Drosophila melanogaster: one gene and its partners. The protein of the gene in region 3 purifies or fractionates together with the protein of the main gene of each other region. This does not show direct contact. Each region holds a gene or a part of one and is shown on either strand. Other genes may lie near its edges.

Region 1 (6,434 bases), about 19 Mb from region 3:
TTGTTGTTTCTGAGTGGGTGACACACCCCCGCAGGCCAATGAGCCCCCTCGAGAACAACCCCTCCTGAATCATCAACACTGACCTAGATACTGCAGCAAAAAAAAATAAAGCCCATTGCGAAAAATAAGAAACAATTGCCCAGAAAATCAACACAGTACTCACCAAGGCATAAAAGTTTGTGTGGCAATCCTCCAAACTTGCGCCGTTTGTCTGATGATTTTGATGCGTCATAGTTCTTGGCTTGTTTTCTTCGCACAGCAGCAGCACCTCATTTTCTCAACGTTGTTTGCTTATAGTGTATTGCTATTATTGTTATTTATCCGATGTGTTGTTATTTGTTGTTGATTTTGATACTCTGTAGTATTTTGCACATTTGCTTGCTGCTTTTTCTGCTCTTTTTATTTTGGATTTTTATTTTTTATTATTGATTCTGCTGCACGCACACAGCAATACTCTCTCACACACACACACAACGGTATAGGCACGGACACACACGCGAGAGAGACGACACACACGGATACACAAATAATGAAGAGCTCTCTTTCGTCTCGTTTCTTTACTTTCGATATTTTGTGGTTGTTGTTGTGGTGTTAGATTTTGTTTGTAATTTGCTATTTGATGTTTGGTTTTGATTTTTATTATGTGTATTTTGTATTTATCTGCTCTCTGGGGAGAGTATGTTAGCGTAAACGTTGCTTTGGCAATGAAACACACATACTGTAGAATTAAGCATGTTGCTTTTGTTGTTGTTGGTTAAAGCTGGAATATAAGAAGAATTAGACTTTGAGCACACATTTTTCCCGCTTGGCATATGTTTTCTTTTCCGAAAGAGATGCATTTATTAGTTAATTTTCTTATTGTTTTAACTTGCTTATTTGTTGCTACACTCACTCAATCACACACACACATCTAGATCACAATTACAAGGGTTCGTTCATTCGCTGTTTCATTCATGCAAAAAGAGAGCAAGCAGAGAGAGAGAGCGACTCAGAAATTGACTTTTTTCAGCCACAGGCAGCGAGTATACACCGCACACACACATTTACTTCTAGAAACACACAAACGACGATGAAAGTCGTTGGATTTTCGTTAATCGTTGATGTAGACAAAATAAAATAGGTAAGAGTTTTCGGCTGTATTCGAATTCAAACCCAACCAATTTATGTTTAATCAAAAAGAACTACACATTTATAGAGCGCAAATCAAGATGAGTAATCAAGGAAAACACCAACACATGCACTCGCACGTACTGTGAACACACAAAACTCGAAGCTGCGACTATTTTTTGGTTTCGAAAAACAACAGTAGCTCAAAATATTTATTAATATTTAATCTATTACTCAGGCTTGAATTTCTTGCGTTGTATTTAGTGTTTTTTGCGCACGAATGACGAGTCAGAAATTTTCGAACCGACTGCGAACGCTGGTCGCCACACACAATGGAAATTTTGCTCGCCTAGCTTTGAATCGGCCATATATATGGTATATAGCCAGTATGTAGTGTAGTTGTACCAGCGGCGAGTGGCGAGAGAGCAGAAGAGGGCGAGTAGCGGCCGAATTCGAATAGCGGCTTTTGCTCTTTTTGCTGAGCAGAGAGTGAGAGAGAGGAGAGAGGGAGAAAACAAGTTTTACCAGCTAACTGCATATGCATTGGTGTGCGTGTGCGTTAGTGGCGTCGGCGTCTGTTTATCTCGCTCTCGCTCGCTCTTTGTGCATCTCTTGGGGATGCAACCATTTTGAGCGAGAGGCAGACAGAGAGAGACCGAGCACATAGATCGATTAAATTAAGGGAAAAATCTCAAACTAAAACGAAACTCGAAGGAAATCCGAAATTCCATAAATTATGCACTATACAACACTACATAGCACACACACGCACGCAAATATGTAGAGTGCGAAACGTGATACATAGACGGGCAGCAGCATTCCTCTCACACACACACGCATCAACCATACACCTACATGGCAGAGCAACCACTTTCGTAGTTTTCCTTTCGCACCGTTTTCTCTGTTTCTGGGCAGTAATGTGTGTGTACACATCAAATTTTCTGATTTTTACTTTCGGCCACTCGAAATAGCCGGAAAAAAATGCCATCGATAACTAAAATCGCACAGTTGTTGCATATTCCTCTTTCTTACACTCTCCTCCTTTTCCACCTCTTTCTTTCAATCACACACACACTACATAGGCACACCGCCGGGGCAGCGACCGCTAGAGCAATTAAAAACCATTAAACATTTCCGCTGCCAATGCTTAAACACGTCTTGAAAATCATTTAATGATTTTGCGCCACAATTATTTGTCAAACAACGGCACTTGGGCATTATTATTTATATTTAATTTGCTGCACCTCTTGCACGCATACACGCATACAGCACACACGCACACCCTCTCACTTCTCGGGCAATCGCTTTTGCATTTGCATTTTTGATCACTTTTCTACGTTTTAATCGCCGTTTTTGATGTTCTTTCCGACTACCGATGTAAACTTGTCTTGAATCTTTACATTTTGTGCCACTTTATCTATCGCATTCGCATACGGAAAAATCTGCGATCGATTTTTATAACAATTCGCAACAAATATGAGGGAAAACTTGCCGTCGGCGGCAGAGCCAGTGTTGCCAGCTAGCACAGACAGAAAACTACTAAAGAGGTGGCACAAAAGCACTAATAAATACCACAGAACACTAAGTCTTCACAATGGGAAGTTCAAAATATACAACAAATTAATACTTCTTAATTTAGAATGGTATATTTTTTAAATTATTTGTTCTATGTCTTCAAAGGTATTACACATCTTATATATAAATAAATAAAGGATCTCTTAAATTTAATTTAATAACGGTTATAGAAACCTTTTAATGAAATGGTTTAAGTGGTGCGAATGCGTAAAGTGATTGGAATGAAGTGTAAAATAAAAGATATTTTTATTCTGTTTGAATCAATTCCGTCAACTGATTGTTTGATCCTTCTTAAAACAAATTTTTTTAAAGGTGAATACAAACTATAATAAATTGTACAATAGAAGAATTTGTAATCTATTAAAATGGAAACAAATAAGTGTTTTGTCACCACTAGCATCCAATTGCATCGCTAACACCAGCCACTTGTGTTCCCATCCCTAAGAGTGACCGTACTCCCCATGGCCAAAAAGTGTGCACCGAAGCGGCGCTGCCGTGCGAAAACCTGTTCCCGCTCAAGACCGCCGTTACACACCCCCTGCGCCGCCTCCTCGGAATTCCATGACACTGCGTGGGGCAATAAAAACAAACAGAACGCTTGGCGGCCACCTGAGAGCGGAGCAGCGACCAACTGTAAAAGTGGGCCGCCCGGGAAGAAGAAGAAGCAGCGTAGGCAGCAGGTGACGCCGACAGCGACGTCGGCAGAGACGCAAGCAGCGACGGACCTCGAAGATTTCACTTTTCGACGAACGATTTAACTGAGCGGAGCTAAGAAACGCGATTTTCATACAAGCAATTGAAAAAAATAGTCGTGTTGTAGGCGAAAATAACTAGAAAATGGCCATGTACCGCGCCAGTGGGTTAAGGATTATGCAACAGATGCGACGCAGGATTCCCGTCGAACTGCAGCCACTCCAAGTGGCCAAAGCTGCGCCTGCGCTGCAAACTTTCACTTCTCAGCGCTGGACTTCGACGACGACGACCAGTGGAAAGCATGCCAGTCCACAGGTTACGACCCCGCCCCCGAGACACGACTGGAATAGGGCGGTCAGCGAGGCGGAGCGCATCGTCGGCTATCCCACATCCTTCCTCAGTCTGCGCTGGCTGCTCAGCGACGAGATCGCCAATGTGGCGCTGCACCTGCGCAAACTGGTGGGCAGCGCCCATCCGCTGATGAAGACGGCCAAGTGAGTGGTGCTGAAGGGCTTATAGGGCGTTGAAATTTATGTGAATCTTCCGCTTCAGGCACCTGCTCTACAATGGCAAGAACACGATGCAAGCCTGGGGATTGATAGTGCTCCTGGTGTCCAAGGCCGCAGGACATGCACCCAGTGTTCCAGACGTGGAGCAGGACAAGAGTGCCGGAGTGCTGCACTCCCAAAGGGCTTTGGCCGAGGTCACCGAGATGATACGGATATCTCATCTGGTGCACAATGTAAGTTTTTGATCAAATGCATTCGAAAGTTACTCGTAAACTGAAAGTGGTTTGTATGCAAATGAGTTTAACTTTCCTCAAATTTAGTTGACGAAACTCAAGAAACGAACATCAATATGTCATTGGTCGAGCTGATGCCTCATAGATTATAAAAATATTTACACTTGGTCCCATTTTAGAGCGTGGTTAATCTGCAATCGAGCACGCAGGCTGGGCAGGATGTGGACACCTACGACGACATGTCGTTTGGCAACAAGATCGGCCTGCTGACCGGCGACTATCTTCTGGGCCATTCCAGTGCGGAGCTGGCTAATCTGCGCAACCAGGAGGTGGTGGAGCTGATCTCGTCGGCGGTGCGAGATTTTTCCGAGTCGGAATTCATTGGAGAGCGTGATGAACAGAACAACCCGCTGCCTTATAAGCCAGGAACCTTCCAGCGACCATCTCTCAGCGTTGGAGTGGATTTCAACGAGCACGACGTGATGACGCCAATGCCGATTGCCCAGGTTCTCGGCAATCCGGAGGAGGAATGGGAGTGCCGTAATATCCTTAATGCGGGTAGCCTGCTGGGCAAATCCTGCCAAGCTTCGCTAAAGCTGGCCGGACAGAGTGAGGAACTGCAGCGACATGCTTACCGCTTTGGCAAACATTTGGCGCTCGCTTGGCAGGCTTGCTTGGATGCCGAACCTTTTCAGTGCCCCCAACTGCCGCTAGATGTTACTTTCAGTCTGGTTAGTGCTCCAGTCCTATTCCACTTGGAGCACGACCCTGGCATGTATTCTCAATTGGAGGCTGGCAAGCAGTCGGTCGATAACATCGACTACGACAAGATCCACAAGGCCATTCTGGCCGGGCCGGCTTTGGCCAAAACCAAGGAACTGCAGCGGAAGCACACAGCCGCTGCCCTGGCCGTTCTGCAACATTTCCCGGCGACGGACGCTCGACAGGCTCTGGAGAACATCATTCTGGCCATGCAGGATCTTTGATCCCGAGCAGCAGTTACTGATTTTTCACGGGTTCAGGGCTTAGGTTAGTTGTATTTATTCCGTTGGGTAATTTTTCAGTAAAGCAGACGTTGTTGACTAATCTTTAATGATTCATTTAAAGTAAAGTTTAAATGCTTTATTTTTCTGAACTTCAAGTAATACTTGGTGCAAGGTCACAAAAATATATTTTGTAAATCGTCTTGTATCGCAAAAGTTCATTTTTATTATAAGGGAAAATATAGTTCGTCATAAAAAAGGTTGTATGTTCATATTTACATAACATAGAATTGGAGGATTTGGAAACATTCGAGACTGTAAGATTTTTTTCGCAGCCTTGAAATACAAGGCAAGAGTCCCAATTTGCAGCCAATAATTTTCCAAAAAAAATATCGTCACAATCAATGTTATTAGTTTAATTCCGGTGATATCTCAACCTAACGTAACAAAGCCATAATTTAACTAAATTATTAAGGTACATCGAGGGGCCATTTGAATCTAAGAAGCGGAACGTCTTTATGTGTGATTTACGCATTTTAACGACTGATGATCTTCATCAGAACCAGTTGCTTGCAGCGATCGTACTCGAAATACTGGGGGAAATCCAGAGGCAGGTGCTCCATGATCCACGGCTTGTTCACCGTCTGCCGGATGAGGTACTCATACATGGGAGCCACCGAATCGCAATCCTCCAGTGTGAACACATAGCGCTTCTCCAGTGCCATGTATATCGTTTTGGGTCTCCCAGTTTGGCGACCTCGATCCAGGAGGTTATCCAAGACGCAGATGAAGGCATCGGTTAGCGTATCACAGTAGATGACATCGGCAGCTAGGATTATATCGCTATTGTCTATGGCCTCCAGCAGATCCTGCGAGTGATCCTCTTTTGAGGCGAGAAAATCAAACTCCAGAACTGATATCGTAGCGCGGAGGAGTTTTGAATTTCTTTGGACATTGCCGCGGATCAGCTTCAGTATGCATCCCAGGTCCACATCCGTGCAATAGATCCTTCCGTTATTGTGTATTCCGGCGGCAATGCTGGTCAGGCCGACACCAGCTCCCAGTTCCATTAGGGTTTTCTGGGAAAACTCATCCTTTTTGGAGAAAAGGTAGTCTGCCAGAAGAAGGGCTCCTCGCCACACCTGCAAGCCCACCAGCCGGAGCTCCGTGGCCTCGGAATGTTCCAATTCGATCACGCCACGTTTCGGCCTTGGCACCTCAAGGTCGCCGTCTTTATCCGTCCTAATCCCCGCCAGCTTCTCCTCCGGATAGACGAAACGGAACTTCGACAACACCTTACCTCCATCGCGGGTCGTCTGGTAGTTGTTCTCTCC
Region 2 (5,404 bases), on a different chromosome or scaffold from region 3:
AACATTTGGATCTTTTATTACTTCAAAAGGATCCAAATGATAAGAAAAATGCGTTTTAACATTCGCGGAGATATTTTTGCATTTTTAAACATTTTATAACTTTAACTTGTGTTTAAAAATACTAATACTTAAAAAATACTTAAAAAACGCGATTCTTTTTGAAATCTCTTTAGTAGGCGTTGCCAGTTCTATACAGCCAGTCAGTATTAGCCCATCTTACACTCGCAGTCTGGCAACGCAGAGCAGAAACAAAAAGTCATCTTCCCAGGCGGCTTTTAGCATTTTGCAAAATTTCCATTTTTCTGCTGATTAAATTGAGCTAAGCGAATAGCAACGACACCATGTCGATTCTAGCCTACAACGGAGGATGTGTAGTGGCCATGCGCGGAAAGGACTGCGTGGCGATTGCCACGGATCACCGATTCGGCATTCAGGCTCAGACGATCTCCACGGACTTCAAGAAGGTGTTCCACATCGGCCCACGGATGTTCCTCGGGCTCACAGGCCTGCAGACGGACATCCTTACTGTTCGCGATCGCCTGATGTTCCGCAAGAATCTGTACGAGACACGCGAAAACCGTGAAATGTGTCCCAAGCCCTTCTCGGCCATGATGTCCAGCTTTCTGTACGAGCACCGCTTTGGCCCGTACTTCATTGAGCCGGTCGTTGCTGGCCTGGATCCCAAGACCATGGAGCCTTTTATCTGCAACATGGACCTGATCGGCTGCCCCAACGCACCCGATGACTTCGTTGTGGCCGGCACCTGTGCGGAGCAATTGTATGGCATGTGCGAAACCCTGTGGAAACCCGATCTCGAGCCGGACCAGCTGTTTGAGGTCATCGCCCAGTCCATTGTGAACGCATTCGATCGCGACGCCATGAGCGGTTGGGGTGCCACCGTCTACATTATCGAGAAGGACAAGATCACGGAGCGCACACTGAAGACCCGCATGGACTAGATGATGTTAGAGGTTCCCTTGGTGATTTTGTATACATTAACCGAAATACACATACAAATAAAATTTGTTTAGGTACAACATGTGCGTATTTCTTTTCCGTATAACGTAATAACACCAGAATTAAATGCGTAATAACACCAGAATTAAATGCGATCTAATTATTGTTTTTCAATTTCAAAAGCATAACTTTAAGTCGTATTATATTATTGCTCTTCTGTCCACTCGGTGGATTTCTTGGCCAACAACATGGCAGCCTCCTCGGTTTTTGCCCCGCCAATAAATCCTGTGTGATGGATGAATTCGAGATCTTTGATGCTCGCCTTATCGCATAGTTCATCGTCCATCAGTCCGCGCCAAGGAGTGGGCAGAAATTTGCGGCCCAGATAGCTGCCAGGCGTCACTGGAACTCCGGCCACTCGCCAACTATTGCCGCTGTTGAAGACGACCAGCTTGGGCACACCCTCCACCTTGTACTCCTTTTCAAGATCGAACAGATGAGACTTCCAGGGGCAGAAATTCTTCAACACAAGAATCTCGCCGGTGGGATGGACGTTCTTGGCATTTTTAAGAGCCTCTCGTACGTGATCCCGGGCTGGAATCCAGGAACATGATACCTCCACAACGTTGTCCACAAACTCACGACCTGCAGTATCCATCGCCTGTCTGAATCGGTCTTCGATGTCTACGCCAGTTTCCTGCCAGGACGGATTCAGTTTGGCAATGCGGGCAGATAGATGAGTGGAGATTTTGTATATAGGCTCAACGCCCTCGAACATGGGCACTCCATTATCAATTGCGTCCAGTTCGTTGATAAAATTCCTATAGATCTGAATAAAGGCCGTTTGCAGGTTTTCCGGTGAGAGTTTAATTCCCTTTTCGCGCTGCAGGATGCTCTGTATAACACGCTCGCCATAGTGACAGTAGACCAGTCCAGCACTGCTTAGCCTGGAGGGGATTACATTGGATTATACGGGTTCATTTACGCTAACACCACGAATTCACCTGACAACGTTGTAGTCCTCGCTTACATCTGGGCGAACGGAACTAAAAGTCTCCTTGAAGGTTATTTGGTGGTGATCGTACAATTTCTTGGCATGATCATAAACGCCGCCCACGTCGACAATTATATCGCACTTCTCCTTCAAAGCCTTGTTGTCCCGACTGCGGAAAATCTCTGCGTTTTTGTACTCATCCAATTGCTTGAGCATAAAACATGCGACCAACTCGTCGCAGTGAAAAGTGCCGCTGTGTGTGCCGATCCAAAGGGGAGAGCGTTTTGGTGGGGTAACTCCAGTCATTATAGATAGTTTTCCTGCTTCAAAACATTCAGTTAAGCCCAGATATTTCAATTAATTTCGGATTGTAACCAAAAACTTACGAAAACGAGGTAACAATCGGAACATTAGCGACGGTCTTTTCCTCCATTTAATATCGATATCACAAGTTTTTATAACTTGATATGGCAACACGCGTTCAGCTTAAATATATAAAAACTGCAGCGTGGCAGCACTGGTAACGGTTTTTTAAGCCGCAAACAATTAACAACATTTTAATTAAATACGTTTTATAGGCAAGTTGGATTTTAATATAATAATATATGAAAATTCAGTGAAATCTGTACCAAGCACTGCCAGCTTATCAAAGAACTTCGCCCCACACCAATCGATTGCATGGGCGTTTGTGCTTATCCAATAAATTAGCATTCGCTTGCTAATTTGTAAAACAACAACTCATAGGGACCACATCAATTTTTTGGCTGCTTAGTAGAGAATTATTGGCTGAAAATTTTAGTAAGCCTTTGGAACTCAAGACCCACGAATGGATACATTGGATAAAATTGACTAACCACAAGGATTTACCAAAATGGCAGAAGCCCGTTTGCGCCGAAATATAAGTCGGCAAGTACCCGCAATGTAAGAGTGATTAGTTTAAAAGATCATTAAAAACGCGCGGGAATCGGAAAGCTTAAAAATACATTACTGACCCACTGCGTGGCATTGCTTATATAATCGTTATAAGTTATTTAAATTTTACATTTCCGTTAATTGTGCGCTGAAACTGACGAACAATAATTAAAACCGAAATAGTAGGCAAACGGTCTATGTATGCGTTTAAAACATAAATCACCGCCGACAACAATGATCACGTGTATGAGCGCGAACAAAACGTTAAATTCAAATTGTTACACAGGCATTTTTCCCGTTGTCAGCATCCCATGACCTTCGAAAAGATGCTAAGCTCGGAAATTGAGTGGAAAAGGAAGTGCCTGTGTAAACGAAACTCGTTTGGAAAACACACTTCACTATCTCCAATTGGAATGCGAAATTCAGCTCGAATTAAAGTTCAATTTGCCCCGACGTCTACGTCACGCGGCCAAATCAAAAATTTCACAGGGCTTATTGTGGTACTAATCGATGCAGACACGCTTATCAAAATCTGGACTCGTTTCGACCTCAGCTTCTTGCAATTAAGCTTATCATACAGATTACGTTAGAAGTTCATTGCCACTGAGCGAAAAATGCGCTTGTTTTTACAACTACCCAAGTAATTATATTTTCACGCCCGTGAGCAAATAAGCAAATTCCACAGGTAAATACCAAACTGAAACTGAAAGGTATATTGTACCACATGTCGTTCTTAAATGAATGAAAGTGAATAGTAAGTTGAATATACAAATATTTAAATCATTTTTGGCTTATATAGCACTTACAGGGTATCATTGGATCGGTGAACTGGCACCCTCGTTACGTATATGCCCATTTAACTTATATTAGCACCGTCTTTTTTCAAATAAATCGCTTAATACAACAAATATGTGAGTACGCGTCAAAAAAACTTTAAGGGCAATTAACTGGAGCACTTAAAATAGAGATTACTAAATCGGGAGGTGATGATTTTGTATTTAAAATTAAAAATTCGACACTATCATTAAATTGCATTACTATCGTTGTAGTGTTCTCTGGTGTGCAACATCACAATTGTAGATTTATTTACTCGAGCCTAAGTGAACTTAAGTAGCCTTACTGTATTTATAGAGGCGAGATCAAAGCCGCCTGACGTTATATTCATGTGTGTTGTCCGGTTTATGCAACTGTCATTTAACTATGGCGAGAATTTACCTTTTCCTGCTCGTATTTGCATCGTACATTATATAGAATACGGCTTTGTGGGTATATTCTTGAACTCAAACCGGAATGCTGGGTATACAAATAAGAATTCAGAAAGAAATTAATGTGTTTTTTTTTATGAATGCCAGACCGATTCGAAGCTGATTTAGTGGGAAGATCTAGTAGCGGGCAATGATGAGGTTAATACAATAAAATACAACAAACCGGTTTGTCAGCAGACCCTCAATTGTTCTCCCGCTCAATGAATACGATTTTGGGGAATTTGTTTTGTTTTCTAGCCGCCGAATTGGTTACCAAACCAAATTGCTTGGTAAATGGCACAAATGCCAGGCGAGCTTTCGTCGCGTTCAATTTCCGAACTCCGTCTTGTAAGCTTAGCTTAATGGAAAGCTTCGTTGTAACGGGACTGAGATTCGCGCTCGGCTTCGTTTTCGGTTTCAGTTTGTTTTGACCGCGCGACGCGTTCTGGTCTAATCGCTAGTTTCTCCAAAAAATCGGTTTCGTACTGAAAATATACGAAAAAGCCTTTATATTTTTTACACCTTACTTACTCCACGGTACAACTTCGTCACGGTCCCTTTTGAGCCGCTGGTTAAAACCAGTTGGAAATTCGGCATTCGAAAGTTCAATACTCCGATTATAAATTTTTGGGATCCCTTGATATATGTGCGGCCCAAATGAGTGTAATACTTTGTATATATATGACATCGATTAGGTGCAGTTTTTCAGCTTCGGCAGCGAGTTGTTTCCGTCGCACGCAATCTTAGCCGACATAGTTGTTGTAACCCTTATTTAGCCAGAAGTGTGCAGTTTCGGCTGCTTGGCCATTAACCGCTGACATATTGGCATTAATGAGTGTTTTTTTTTTTTACCGAGAGGGCATATTGTTCTACACCTGGCCAGCCGTGTGTTTATCTTGGGCATAAAAAATAAAAACAATTGCAAATAAGAGATACACGATGCAAGAACCGCGTTAATTACTTATTTGCAATGCCTTGAACATTAAGCCATATTGCAACAGATTGTGAATTCAAAGATTAAACATTTTAAAACTCGCTTAATCTCAGGCGTTGGAATATAATGTTTTCTGTTTAATTCTTTTGAAATTGAAAAATTTCTTTTAATGCACAGTTGTAAACAAGAATTGAAGGGAAGTCGAGTTACGTGTTAACATTTTTGGAATCATTCATTTGTGGTGCGCCACATTAAACGGTGGGTCGTTATAGACGTCTTTCGGCTCATCTTGAAAATATATTTTCAACCGGTTTCGCTGGGTCCCGTGACCAAAATTTCGATTTATTACCAATCCCAAAGACA
Region 3 (6,268 bases):
GACTAAATGTGATGTAAACGAAACGTAACACACAAAATATGGGAAAGTAATGTAGAGCATTGATGGTAACCAATCTGTTTCTCGATCTCTTCCAGCTGAAAGTCAATTGAATCTCTGTTCCTCCGTCACCGCGTCGCGAAGCCGTTAAAACTGCCGCTCCCAAACATTCGCTGCGATGGCCACCTCATCGATACTCGCCAAAAGCACAATTAATAGCACATCGCCACCGGCCACGCCCAGCAGCAGCGCGTCCCCCGGCTCCACACTGACCACCCGGAAGCGGACCTACGAGATAGCCATTGCCATGCCCTCGTCCACCGCCTCCAGCAGCGCCACAAAGGTATCGGAAGTTCAGGATCAGCGCACAAACAGCCCCGGCAAGTCCAAGAGCAGGCCCGGCCAGCTGGAGAGTGTCTTGGTGGTCGGCGAGGGAGCCAGCGAGCCCACCACCTCGGCCACCACACTGCGGGACAGCACACGCACCATCTCACAAAGCGACGCCGACGATGGCGGCGAAGCGGCAGCCGCCGAGGACCTGCTGCCCCCACAGTCGGATTACCTCAACGGCGTCAAGCGGAAGTACGTCCCGCAGCAGCAGGCGTCGCCGAATCACCGGGTGGTGCCCGCATCCACCTCGCAGCAATTCTTCAGCGGGGCCTCCGATTTTGCGGTAAGTAGTCAAGAGTTAGGATGCAAAGTTAGTCTAAATCGTAGTAGCTGAAATCGTTTGAAATTGATGTTCGAGTCGTGAGTCGTATATTTCCGACGATGTGTGATAAGATCGAGAAAGAATGTGTAGACCAAGGACACAATCGTCCAGTTGAATAGCCCAACTAATCGGGAACTTTTCTTCCTGCAGACAATTTGCAAGCCGGCGCCCTACTCTCACGACGAGGAGGCCATGCTGGAGCGGGATAGATGTGACTACACTCAAAGGATCACCTACCAGATGGCCCGCTCCGGACAGACGACCCGCAGGGTGAGGGTCTACGCCGATGGCATCTACGATCTTTTCCACCAGGGCCACGCCCGCCAACTAATGCAGGCCAAGAACATCTTTCCCAACGTGTACTTAATTGTGGGCGTGTGCAACGACGAGCTCACCCACCGCATGAAGGGACGCACCGTGATGAACGGCTTCGAGCGATACGAGGGAGTGCGTCACTGCCGCTATGTGGACGAGGTATGTTCTGCCCGGCACTGATTAGAGATCTTTCAGTCTATAGCATCTTACTCTGTCTTGCAGATCGTCCAGAATGCGCCATGGACTCTGTCCGATGAATTCATCGCCGACAACAAAATCGACTTTGTGGCCCACGACGACATTCCGTATGTAACCGATGGCATGGACGACATCTATGCTCCTCTCAAGGCGCGCGGCATGTTTGTGGCCACGGAGCGCACTGAGGGTGTGTCCACCTCGGACATCGTAGCCCGGATCGTCAAGGATTACGATCTGTATGTGCGTCGTAATCTGGCCAGAGGCTATTCGGCCAAGGAACTCAATGTGTCGTTCCTGTCCGAGAAGAAGTTCCGGCTGCAGAACAAGATGGACGAGCTGAAGTCGCGCGGCAAGCGCGAGCTGAGCAAGGTGAAGGTGGACATCATCACCAAGTGGGAGGAGAAGTCGCGCGAATTCATCGACACCTTCCTGCTGCTGTTCGGACGTGAGAACCTGAATCATTTGTGGAACGAGTCGAAGGGCAAGCTGCTGCAGGCACTCAGTCCGCCGGGCAGCCCGTCGGGATCAGTGAACGGTGATGACACGGAGGGCGGCGAGGACTACAGCGAAACTATTGACGAGTACTTGGAGATGGCCGAGAAGTTGAGCGGGGGCAGCGGCAGCGGCAGCAGTGGATCGCTGAACGGCAAACAGAGGCCGAAGCAGAAGCGCTCCTCGCTGGCCCGCCGCAGTTACCAGAGTCTGCAGAGCCAATCACCCGACTTGGAAGCGGATGGGGACGAGGATGCGGATGCGGATGCGGAGTACGAGCGTCGAAGCAATTGATTCTATTGCGGGGCAGCCCGATCTTTTCTTCTTCTCTTAATGTCTTTAATGCTATTGTAAATGGACTTGCTTGCAACTAGTTCGACGGCACACTATAGATGCCCCAGGATCGCCACGCAGGCTCCACGAACACACACTTATATTTACTCTAGCCCTAAGTGGTATTGTAATCCCAATGTTTTAGTTGGCACTCGTTCTCCTCCTGCCTCAACTCCACCTGCCCATCTCCATCTGTGAGAATCGAGGGAATCCTGTAGCTAATTTAGCTGTGTGTGTGTGTGTGTGGGACAAGCAACCACCAACGCGGAAAAGACTCATTTTTGTATTAGGCACTCGACGGACTGTGCACGAAATCAATCGGCAGTGGCGGCAGATTCAGGTGCCGAAAATATCTAGAAATATTTATATTAAATTATTTCGCATAACATTAAACTAAGTTAACAACACCGCAACCAGAACACCAACCAATATAGAGAAATCCAAACAAACAAATTACGAAATACATTCGGAAAATGCAAAAAACAAAAACAAGTAATTAGTAACAGTTGGCAATAGCGGAACTATTGCAAATGCTTTGTTAAATATTTTTTGAAAAATAAACATTGAATCGAAAGGAAATAGAAGTAAAGCGAGTGGCTTGTGAATCAGTTTGCTATCTCATACGTTTATCCAGCAATTGCGCATCCGATTCAGCAGCCATCCATGGCACTGCTGGAATTCTTGAGCGCGCGCCACCGATGATGATGAAACCGTTTGCCTTGATTGGACACCCATTCCCTCGCAATTAGCTGCCCATTCACCGGCTTGAAGCGGTTCACTGATTTGTTTAATGGCGCTGCGGTTTATATATAGATGCGCACCCATCGCCTGATCGAATCGGCGGACCCGTGCCAAGTCAGGCGACCGACCCGTTGCTTCCTATTTGCTTGCGCCGCAATTTGCGGCAATTGAAGATGAGCGATGAATCCGAGCCAGAGACTTGGGCCTGAGACTGCTAGAGCCGCCTCCAAGTCGTGTGCCTCGCCAGCCGCTGGACTCAATTGTATTGATTCGCCACCAGTTGCCGCCAATTTATTCTGATCGCAGCTAGTGCGCAGTTGGGGACATCTCTCGCTCAAAGTCTCGGACTCAATCCTCGACAGAGTAGACCTAGAGGGTTATGCCGGTTCCGTCTCAATTTATGTAATCAGTCGTCCGGATGAAATCCCCTTGAGCGGACCACTAGTGCTGTACTTAGTTGTGTATACTCGTACATATATTTTTATAAGCAATGGACAGAATGCCGAAAGAGGACGACGAATCTCCAGTGTCGACGGCTCCTGCCACACCGACATCGCCGATGGAGTTTAAGATGCTACCGCTCTTTATGGACTTTGAGGATTTTGTAAGGCTACTCCTTAGAGGAACAGGAGTTGCCACATACTAATCTCTCTACCCCAAAACGCCTCCAGAGCATTTGCCAGCCTGCTCCTTTCTCGTACGATGACAAGGCCATGCTGGAGCTCGAGAGATGCGACTACACACAGAGGATCACCTATCATATGGCCAGAGCTGGGAAGACGACGCGCAGGGTGCGGGTCTATGCAGATGGCATATATGATCTGTTCCACCAAGGCCATGCCCGCCAACTCATGCAGGCCAAGAATGTGTTTCCCAACGTCTATCTCATCGTCGGCGTGTGCAATGATGAGCTGACCCTCAGGATGAAGGGACGCACGGTTATGAATGGATTCGAGCGCTACGAGGCGGTGCGCCACTGCCGCTACGTGGATGAGGTAAGTGTGTTAAACTGAACCAATGAAATGTTTCTATACACTTTTCGATCCATCACAAGATCGTTCCGAATGCTCCGTGGACGCTAAATGAGGAGTTTATCGAGGAGCACAAAATCGACTTTGTGGCCCACGATGACATACCCTATGGAGCTGGCGGAGTCAACGACATATATGCTCCACTCAAAGCGAAGGGAATGTTTGTGGCCACGGAACGCACTGAGGGCGTGTCCACGTCGGACATTGTGGCCCGAATCGTGAAGGACTACGATGTATATGTGCGCAGGAACCTGGCCAGAGGCTACTCAGCCAAGGAGCTCAACGTCTCCTTTCTCTCCGAGAAGAAATTCCGTCTGCAGAACAAGATGGACGAGCTGAAGACACGAGGCAAGCGGGAGCTGACCAAAGTCAAGGTTGACATCATCACCAAGTGGGAGGAGAAGTCGCGCGAGTTCATCGATGCCTTCCTGCTCCTGTTCGGCCGGGAGCGGCTTAACACCTTCTGGAACGAGTCCAAGGGCCGAATCATTCAGGCACTCAGCCCACCAGGCAGTCCGAATGGCTCCGTAAACGGTGACGATCCAGACGCAACAGACGACTTAGACTCTGAGGATGAGTACATGGAGCTGCCACCAGACTACGGGTCTGGTAGTTGCGTATCCCTTAGTCGAAAACAAAAGCGCCCTGATAAGGTGAATGCCTCAGCAAACCTCAATTACTCGGAGCAACCAGAGCATAAGGATGTCGTAGACGAGCGACGCAGCGACTAAAGACGAATTTGGCCTCTTCCTATCAATTAAAACATAAATAAATATGTTTGAAGTTTAATGGAACAGCGCAGTAGGCACTTTTATACATATTTAAAAGAGCTACCAGAAAAAGTATGCGCTTAAAATACATTCCGATAAATTTCAGTTAAATTATGAATATTTCTTTTGGCAAGAAAGTAAAAAGGCGTTTATTTGATATTTTACTTGCTGCCTTTATTGGTTATCTTATGTGTATTGTGAATATAAGTTGGGTTAAATTATAGATTAGCTGAATGATTTTCCAAATCCTCTTCAATGATAGAACAATCGCATTTGTTATTTAAAATAACGTTGAAATATTCGCATAAAAACAAAAATACAATAAATCTTGTAACTTCATAAGCGATCATCATCTAGCTCTTCATGGAGCTCTGTTCATGCCCGTGGCGAACAGGGGAACCATCTTCTTGCCCTTGGCCTTCTTTTGCTTCTTCGATTCCGCTGGAGCTGCTCCATTGGATTTTGCTGCTCCTACCTTTTGCTTTTTCTGGTCCAAGGCTCCAACTAAAAGTTCTCCCAGACCCCAGTGGCCCACAGATCGCTGCTCAAAGTCCTCATCGCTGGTTCTTGGGACCATTACAGCCCGTGGCGGCGGTGGAGCTGAACGGCCCCAGGCGCCCACTTGAACATCCAATGGCGCGCCACCACCTCCAGGAGAATTACTTCCAATAGTGGGCCACATCTCCTGCTTGGGACTTCCCAGAGTGACACTGGAGTATCGGGAACCGGGGTCCTGGTTGCTGATGTTCATGGGCACAGAGCCACTGGGAGCGGGCAAAGCCTCCTCGAAGCCGCACTTTAGATAAAATATCACATATTAATAATTGACACTAATGGCAGGCATTGCTAGCTCACAGTGGGAAACTCATGGGAGGAGCTTAGGTCAAGGTTAGCTGCACTGGCAATAAGTTTGCCCATCTGGCGGTCATTTATCTCGTTGATGTGCTGCTCTCGCTTGCGCTCCTCGCGATCCCGACGCTGTCGTTCCTTCTTACGATGAAGAATGTCCTCTGCGGAAGGAATACATATAAGCATAATGCTGTACATGGACCTAGTGGACTTACCCTTAAAGAGCTTGAGTATTCCTCCAGTGACCACTGGCGGCTGCAATTCGACTTCCACAACCGAAAACTGACAAGTCAAAGGCAAGTGGCCAAGACAAGTGAACTTGCGTCGATGCTCCTCATCCATAGAGTGCTGTTCCATCTGCACGATTTGGGCTTCGATGAGTAGCGGACCCAAGTCCAAGGTGCCGTAGCAAGCCTGAAGCATCTTCACGTTCAAGGGATGCAAGTAAATATTCTGTCCGTCGTTTGACTGGTAGAAATAATAGTATTTATTATGGTTGCTCGAGTAGCTAAGGCTGCTGGATGCTTCTCCCGACGAGATGGAGGCATCGTCTGACTTCTCAATATCAATCTTGGTCTCGGTTTCTAGGCAAAGTACAGGTGCTGTCTCCTCTTCATCCTCTTTCGGATCAGGTTTCTCGACACCCAACTTCTCAACACGCTCCTGAAGCATCACCAGCGCTTGCTGGATGAACACATCCTCGGGACAGGAGACATCCGATTCGGCTAGCAGTTCGTTACGCTCCCTCTCGATGATGGCGGCCACATCCATCCGCTTGGCTATTAGAAACTTTGAGTAGCGTTTAGCCTCTTCACCAGCGGACACAAAGG

Evidence for each region. Proteins that work in one complex are often made in the same cells at the same time.
Region 1: the proteins of Pcyt2 (region 3) and Pdss2 purify together in Drosophila melanogaster (affinity purification with mass spectrometry, with the first as the bait; one large-scale study listed by BioGRID). This does not show direct contact.
Region 2: the proteins of Pcyt2 (region 3) and CG11980 purify together in Drosophila melanogaster (affinity purification with mass spectrometry, with the first as the bait; one large-scale study listed by BioGRID). This does not show direct contact.

Annotation. Positions count from the first base shown.
Region 1 is NT_037436.4:21,024,789-21,031,222, forward strand, and holds Pdss2 (decaprenyl diphosphate synthase subunit 2), read left to right. Parts: upstream 1-3,126; 5' UTR 3,127-3,519; coding exon 3,520-3,869; intron 3,870-3,927; coding exon 3,928-4,117; intron 4,118-4,170; exon of another isoform or gene 4,171-4,296; coding exon 4,297-5,103; 3' UTR 5,104-5,353; downstream 5,354-6,434. Other genes in the region: skd (skuld), read right to left, coding at 164-232; CG10584 (uncharacterized protein), read right to left, coding at 5,637-6,434.
Region 2 is NT_033777.3:9,001,009-9,006,412, reverse strand, and holds CG11980 (uncharacterized protein), read right to left. Parts: upstream 2,397-5,404; 5' UTR 2,363-2,396; coding exon 2,338-2,362; intron 2,318-2,337; exon of another isoform or gene 2,275-2,317; coding exon 1,962-2,274; intron 1,905-1,961; coding exon 1,163-1,904; 3' UTR 1,082-1,162; downstream 1-1,081. Other genes in the region: Prosbeta3 (proteasome beta3 subunit), read left to right, coding at 342-959; CG31100 (uncharacterized protein), read left to right, coding at 2,823-2,872.
Region 3 is NT_037436.4:1,550,619-1,556,886, forward strand, and holds Pcyt2 (phosphocholine cytidylyltransferase 2), read left to right. Parts: upstream 1-2,874; 5' UTR 2,875-3,278; coding exon 3,279-3,392; intron 3,393-3,459; coding exon 3,460-3,783; intron 3,784-3,842; coding exon 3,843-4,550; 3' UTR 4,551-4,697; downstream 4,698-6,268. Other genes in the region: Pcyt1 (phosphocholine cytidylyltransferase 1), read left to right, coding at 176-670, 860-1,183, 1,247-2,008; CG12099 (uncharacterized protein), read right to left, coding at 4,951-5,385, 5,445-5,599, 5,654-6,268.